Nothobranchius furzeri: one gene and its partner. The main gene of each other region encodes a partner of the protein of the gene in region 2 in a complex. Links are inferred from orthologs where the notes say so. Each region holds a gene or a part of one and is shown on either strand. Other genes may lie near its edges.

Region 1 (3,652 bases), on a different chromosome or scaffold from region 2:
CCATTGCCCCGTTGAAAAGTATAAAGGTATTTAATTTACAGACACAGAACAGATTGAAGAACACCTCATGGAAAATGTCTGAAAATATGAACGTCTATCCACCCACGACAAAATACAAAGCAAATGTTTTATTTGTTGGTGGAAATGACAGGAAACGTGGGTTTGGAGGTGGAGGAGAATGAAGGACTCATTTGTTTGTGTTTAAAGTCTGAAATACATAAACACATATCATGGAGCGGATACATGAGTGTAATGGTGGCATGATACCACAGAAAAGCGCTACGAGCTCTGTTGTGACGGACAAGTCCGAGAGCATAAAATCTGTCAATGCGTGTGCGTCTCTCCCTTGGAAAGCTGACAGAGATGTAGAAATCAGGCTAAAGGTGTGTAGGCCTCTTAGCTCTTAGCTTCTTCTCTAAGAACTTAATGACATCAGAATTGACGATAGAAAAACCCATCTTGGTCTATCTCTAGTGCAAAGTTAGCTTCACGCAAAAGGCAATGGGACAAAAAAACTTTCCAAATAGTAAAATTTTCTCACGATGGCTTTTTTCCGGAAGTCTTGAGGGATAGTCGAGATGTTCTCAACCCCTGTGAGAGGACCTTTGTACCCCCTCTCTTTGCTATTGATGAATTCTTACCCTAGCCATAAACCAAGTGAATTGCTTTTTGAAACCTTTTTGCTAATGTCATGTTGTCAGATTTTATTGGCAGTAACCGGGTCTAATGTGAATTATTTATTTCATTTATGACTTAAGGAGCTTTTTAACACAAGACCATGTTGGTTCGGATAGCTTTACCTGGCCTAGTGGTAGAGTGTCCTCTCTGACTGAGAGATTGGCGTTCAAGTCCCAGTCCGGTTATACCAAAGACTTTAACAATGGGACCCAATGCCTCCCCGCTTGACGCTCCGCTTTAAGAGGGGGGATAAACCACCAAATAGTTCCCGAGCGCGGCCAGAGCTGCCGTGCACCACAGCTGCAGCTCACCGCTCCCCACGGGGACGGGTCAAATGCAGAGATGAATTTCACCAGTGTGTGATGAATTAATGGGACTTTAACTTTAAACCCTGAAAACTGCTTTTTTGTTGTTTTTATTCAGGTTATCTTTGATATTGAAATGTATTTATTGATTATAAAAGTGTGACAAAAAGCCCAAACTAAGGGGGCAAGTACTTTTTCACAGCAGTCACCACCTTACATTCAGTTTAAGGTTTATTTCAAACACAAGCCTCACTTCTTTATCACAGATTATAAACTCATTTCGGCCTCTTTCGGCAGGGTCGCTGCTGGGTGATAAGACTCGTATGACTGAGCTTTCAAGAGACATGAATGCTTTCATCAGGCCGTCGCCAACCTCAGGAACGCTCGGCGGTGTCACTCGAACAACCAACGAGGCCATCGTTCTGTGTGAGGGGGCTGGATATGACATCATTCTAGTGGAAACTGTTGGTAAGATTTAGCAAGGTCCAACCCCAGCCACAATATTATTCCAAACTTGTCATTTTATCTGTTCAACTGTGATAAAAAAAATCTTTACATTTCATTTTAGCTACTCATTTATGCAAGTTGAATAGAAAGTCGGACTCCAGTTCCAGCGCTCAAAGTTTTTTCATTGTGATGGTGCTCTGAAAAAGTGACAGTCACACTAAGTATTTGTTGAAAGTGTCAGCACACACTTCTGGATTTTCAGTGACGCTGACACGCTTTGACGAGTGCGTTAAATCTGTGTTTCAGGGTAAAATTTATTCACTGTGATGAATCTCAAGTTTGTCGAAGTTCATGATTATTCAGAGGAGTTTGAGTTTTCAAACAGTCCGAAACACTTGTCTTCTACCCGCTTATTAGATATTTGTGTGTTTTTGTAGAAGTTTCATGTGTAAAAGACGCAGTATTCAGATCCCCTGGGCCTTATAATGTGTGCTTAGATGAAGACTGGGGAGGAGGAGTTGATACACGATAATCAGATTTTTCAGAACGTTTCGTGATACTTGGGTGATCCAATATGATGAGTTTAAAGTATTTTCATCACTTTTCAGGTGTTGGTCAGTCTGAATTCGCTGTGGCAGACATGGTTGACATGTTTGTGCTTTTGATTCCACCAGCAGGTGGCGACGAACTCCAGGTCAGTGAAACGCAACAGCAGATAAATTAAAAGTTAATACATGTTTGCCGTCATGCAACTACAAAAGTAAATTAATTTCACCTACATACATTTGGTTACAAATATTTTAAAAAAGTAAATAAAAATACAAAACTTAGCCCTGATTTGAATATGATCATTTTTTGACAAATTTTAAGTAAACAAGAAAGCAAAAATGTAACTTTAAAACTGCTTTAGTCATAACCTAACGCCATGGTATTAATGTCAAATTACGCTCATGAGTCTTTTTTTAAGTTGTTATTTATAAAAATGAAAATGCTGGCAAAAAACGGTATGCTAATTAGTTAATTAGCTTAATTAATGACTTAATGAGCACAGCTCATTATGATTCATATTATTGTGATTACAGCGAGACACTGAGGTGAGCTGGCATCTGTTTTAATAACAACCGTTGTGTTTTTTACTTCAGAAGCAAAGCTGTGAGTTTATTTAGCACAGAGGAAATGTGAAACAATGTCATTAAATCTTGGTTTCACATCAGATTTTCTTTACATTTATTATTATGAATTCAAACAGACATAAATTTGACCTGCGATGGATGCATTTAAAGTTTTTATTTTTTCAGAAAATTTTCTATGTGTGACAGTGCTGCTTTCCTCTTTCTGTCTTTTGGCATCAAATCAAACTGCATCATTTACCCGATTATAGCTTTCACTTTATTCTGGTATAAATACGTCATCAGTTCTAATACTAATTATTTAACCAGGGATTCAAGACTCTGTTAGGTGGCTGTTTGTTCTGTTTGTTTATTGGTGAGGCCAACCAGACATTTTAGTTGATGCCTTTAAATAAGGTACTTATTCTACTAATCATTACACTCCTGCCACCGTGCTTTACCACTAGGAGAGTGTATTAATCAGGTTATTTTAGCCAAACTGATGTTTGTGTATTTTTAGACCCTCCTACTCTCTCAGCAGAGCTTTTGTCATGCTCTGATGTCTCTCGCTGAAACTGATTCCCTCTAAACTCACAATGGATCCAAATCCCTGCCTTTAAAGCAACTTTAGTTCAAGTGCAGTTGAACGATTCTTTCTCTGCATTCAGTTTTCTGTCGCTAATGAATCTTATTAAATGTTAATTTGGTCACTTTTGTTCCGTAATGGGTTTGACCTCTTTTGTGCAGCGGAAATTGCAACTGAAGAATTGTCATATTCAACACTTTAAAGACCAAGTTCACAAAGAAACCGTTTTTTTACTTACAACCAGTCACTTTTGAGTTTCACATGTAGTCTAAATGTGAAAATAGTCTTTTACCCCTACTTCCTGCGTTAGCCGGAGAAAACGGGGAAACTCTGATTAGAAAAGCCAGTCTGATCTACGTAACGCTGAAAATTAGCATTCATGGACTCACCCATTTTAGCTTGTGATGGGAAAGGCAGTTGATGATTTTGCTCCCAGGAGAGAGCCAAGCACGTTTCCGCTAGCAGAAGCTAACTGTTAGCATTAGCAACTCCACCGCATGGCAGAACTCCTCCAGGCTTAAGTTATT
Region 2 (3,652 bases):
TGGATCTGGTTTTGTTTGGTGTAGAACAAATTCAGACGTGTCGGGTCAAATCAGGAAAGTAAATGTATACAACATTTACACAAAAAAGAGCTATTTTACTGAAAACGTGACTAGTAGTAGTTATTTTAAATTACAGTATTTTTACTTCAATAGATTTTAATATTTTCCAGCTAAATGTAAAAAGTATTTTTTTATAAAAATGCAACATCCATCCATCCATTTTCTGTTTTTGGGATGTGGGGCTGAAATCCTCCGCTACTCACTCACTAACAGTGGTTAGCACTGTTCCGTCGCAGCAAGAAGGTTGCAGGTTCAAAACTCGGCTGCAGCCTTTCCGCGTGGAGTTGAATGTTCTCCTCATGCATGCGTGGGTTTCCTCCGGGTACTCCGGTTTCCCCCACAGATCACAACATGCCCTATAGGTTAAAAATTGTCCGTCGCTTTGGATAAAAGCGTCTGCTAAATAAATAACCATAAACATAAATATAAGGAGGTTGAAAAGTGATAAATAGACCTGTTTCTTTGATTTAGAATATAAGGGACCAAGAAAGAAAGAAAAAAAAATCTACAAAACAATATTCACTCATCATGGATGGATAGATGGATGGATGGATGGATAGTTGGACGAATGGACAAATGTATGGATGGTTGGATAAAGGATAAATGCACAAATGAATGGATGGATGGAATGCTTGATAAATGTACAAATGGATGAAAAGGAAAGATGGATAAATGTACGAATGAATGGATGGATGGGTGGATGGATGGGTGGAAGAACAGAAGGAAGGAAGGATGGATGGATGGATGGATGGATGGATGGAAGAACAGAAGGAAGGATGGATGAATGGATGGATGGATGGATGGATGGTTGGTTGGGTTGATGGATGGATGGATGGATGGAAGAACAGAAGGAAGGATGGATGGATGGATGAATGGATGGATGGATGGATGGATGGACGGACGGACGGACGGATGGACGGATGGAGTAATGTACCAGGTGGTCAACTTTCACCTACATATGGACCACATAATGACCTTTCATTTGCGGACAGAAAAACACCATCTGTCTGGACACCCAAATCCAAACAGACCTTTGCCACGGTCCTTGCGGCTGCAAGGAGTGATAAACATTCTCACTCAAGGTCTCCCGCAAAGGTCCTGCAATCTCTGTAAAAGCCAGACTGCCGATTCCTCACCATGAATAAAAATCAAACCTACTTGAAGCTCCTACATGACTTTACAACCCATAAGCTTAGTGTTGAATGAACAAGATGTTTAAATCAAATGTTTGAATAATCTGTGCTTAAATCAATGAATTCAAGATGAATATTGCCCTTACAATGATCCATTTCAGATCTCATCTACACCAGATCAGTGTGTGTTTGATTTAACTAGTTAATCAATATCTACACTCATACACATTACAATAAGATACTTGTTACGTGTTAAACACCTTTGTATCTGAAGAAGGAGTGTCTTTGGAGGAATGCTTGGTAAAACCCTCAAAACATGTCAAATTCTGATTTGCCAACGTTTATAAACAATGAGTTCAATAAAGCAAGAATTACTTCCAGATTGATTCCGTTTCTAGCCGACTCTCGAACCGGCCAATTCGGGAACAAGCATCTTTGAAACCATCTCTTTTGCCATCCAGTCAAAATGCCTCTTAAAAGCTAAATAAAAAGCCGATCCCTGTTTCGCTTTAGGCCATTTCCACTTTTGTCAGGTTTTACCTCGTAAAGGAACAAATGAAAACATAACGTTGTATTAAAGATTAAAGCAACGCGACGAGGATAAGAAACGAGACAGGAAACCCAAACTCATGTTAGCGTTTCAGTCTGCAGTACCTGAGTCAATGCGAGCCTGTCTTCGTGCCGCACATTCCTCAATCCGAAGTTTTGGAATGCCCTCTGCCACAGCTTTGGCCATGCCTCCCATCTCTTCGATGTCTTTAATGAACTATAAAACGCAGCACGCCGAGTTACTGGAGTCTTTTAATCTCAAACTTGCATAAAGTCCAAAACGATGTTCAGTAAGCTTCTCTGGTTTGACGAACCTTCAGAGCAGTATTGTAGACGTCATCAGTCAGAGCTTCCATCATGTGTGAGCCCCCCCAGGGATCGGCCACCTTAGGGATGCCTGACTCTTCTTGGACAATGATCTGGGTGTTTCTAGCGATGCGGGCACTCTTCACCGTTGGTAATCCCAGAGCTTCATCAAAAGAGTTGGTGTGTAGCGACTGGGTGCCGCCAAACACAGCAGCCATGGCTTCGATTACGGTACGAATCACATTGTTGTACGGATCCTGCAGAATGAGTGACCATCAATCAGAGTAGGCTACAACTTTACATTTTGTTCAGAAATGGTTTTGGAATCAAGATATTTAAAATAATCGATCAACACTGCAAATTGAAAACAGTGAAGGTTTGTGTTTACTTGCTCTGTGAGAGACCAGCCTGACGTCTGGCAGTGGGTGCGCAGCAGGAGGGACTTGGTGTTCTTGGGCTGGAAGTTTTCTTTAATCAGAGTGGCCCATAACCTCCTGGCTGCCCTCAGCTTGGCTATTTCCATGTAGAAATTCATCCCTATACCCCAGAAGAAGGACAACCTGATAAAACAATGTTAGAACACAATAATCAATCAATAAAGTAATGAATACGTTGAAAAATGACAAATTGAAGGTAGTTCGCTTTGTGAAAGGAGCTTGAACGAAGTTTAACATAAAGTTTGAAATCCTCACTTGGACTCCTTCGAACATTCTTTGTGTTAAAGTGGCTAAATAGCTCAACGTTCCTCTCAAGGGACCATAAAGCCGTTCTACAAAAGGCTTTTGATTTGTCCACATGAGCAGCGGAGGGCGACATCGTCCTCCGCTGCCTGCCAGAGAAGGAGTGACGCCACCAACGGCTACAGTGTTAGCCAGAACGTATCAGCTAAAAAAGGTAAAAACAAATCAATTCTGTGTGTTCAGAAAAGAACCAAACAATGGAATTTGATTTGGAACAAACGTACAAAAGACCCTCGGTCCACGATGACAAGATTCAGTTTTTGGATTAAAGTAGACTTTAGCCTTGGTGGTGCTTGAACATCCAAACTAATTTCATTTCATCTGAGGGTAACGGATTAGGACCTTTTCCAGAATTGTTTGAACTAATGATTCTGGAATCTGAATTTGTAGAAATGGCATAAATACAGTCCTCCTTTGATCTTTTCTCTCTTAACATCCTGAAATGTTTCCAGTTAGAATGGATCTGGACAGTAGATTAGGGTAAATAACATATTTTTATCTTGTCAGGAAGAGAGAAAATGTACAATAAATTCAGACTTGTGCACCAGTCGATGCTTTTAAACTCATTCCAGCACGACAGACGAACAGTTCAAATCAGTCGTGGAAGTTTAATTATAAATCAAAGGTGGTTCTAACAGCACGGAGAGGAGGCAAAGTCATAGGCTCCTTGTAAATAAAGGACAGTATCTTTCAACAACTTTAGGCACAACAGGAAGCTCCAGAGGCATGTAAGTAAGTGAGAGTCAATCAGCTTTAAAGGATAAACGAAACGGGGGAAAACATCCAGTTAACACGAGTGAACGAAGAACCAAAGGTGCACCAATGGACGTAACTGAAGGAAGACAGCAGAGAGGAAAAACGGGA

The links. Proteins that work in one complex are often made in the same cells at the same time.
Region 1: the proteins of mmut (region 2) and mmaa are in contact, whole or in part, in a crystal structure (PDB 8GJU), measured with the Homo sapiens proteins. The link is inferred for Nothobranchius furzeri from reciprocal best matches to the Homo sapiens genes MMUT and MMAA. Residues at the interface, in NP_000246.2 of Homo sapiens: Lys496, Glu609, Arg610, Glu611, Gly612, Arg613, Arg614, Arg616, Ala635, Thr636, Ala639, Asp640, Gly642, Phe643, Asp644, Val645, Asp646, Ile647, Gly648, Pro649, Leu650, Phe651, Gln652, Glu656, Gln659, Gln660, Val662, Asp663, Ala664, Asp665; in NP_001362573.1 of Homo sapiens: Arg98, Ala99, Ala102, Glu103, Thr106, Glu109, Ser110, Thr111, His112, Ser182, Ser186, Gly187, Gly188, Ser189, Leu190, Leu191, Lys194, Thr195, Met197, Thr198, Ser201, Arg202, Met204, Tyr207, Ile208, Arg209, Pro210, Ser211, Pro212, Arg214.

Annotation. Positions count from the first base shown.
Region 1 is NC_091744.1:10,732,628-10,736,279, reverse strand, and holds part of mmaa (methylmalonic aciduria type A protein, mitochondrial), read left to right. Parts: intron 1-1,280; coding exon 1,281-1,451; intron 1,452-2,038; coding exon 2,039-2,124; intron 2,125-3,652. UniProt on the Homo sapiens protein: GTPase, binds and hydrolyzes GTP. Involved in intracellular vitamin B12 metabolism, mediates the transport of cobalamin (Cbl) into mitochondria for the final steps of adenosylcobalamin (AdoCbl) synthesis.
Region 2 is NC_091742.1:21,795,232-21,798,883, forward strand, and holds part of mmut (methylmalonyl-CoA mutase, mitochondrial), read right to left. Parts: intron 2,609-3,652; coding exon 2,437-2,608; intron 2,306-2,436; coding exon 2,057-2,305; intron 1,960-2,056; coding exon 1,848-1,959; intron 1-1,847. UniProt on the Homo sapiens protein: Catalyzes the reversible isomerization of methylmalonyl-CoA (MMCoA) (generated from branched-chain amino acid metabolism and degradation of dietary odd chain fatty acids and cholesterol) to succinyl-CoA (3-carboxypropionyl-CoA), a key intermediate of the tricarboxylic acid cycle.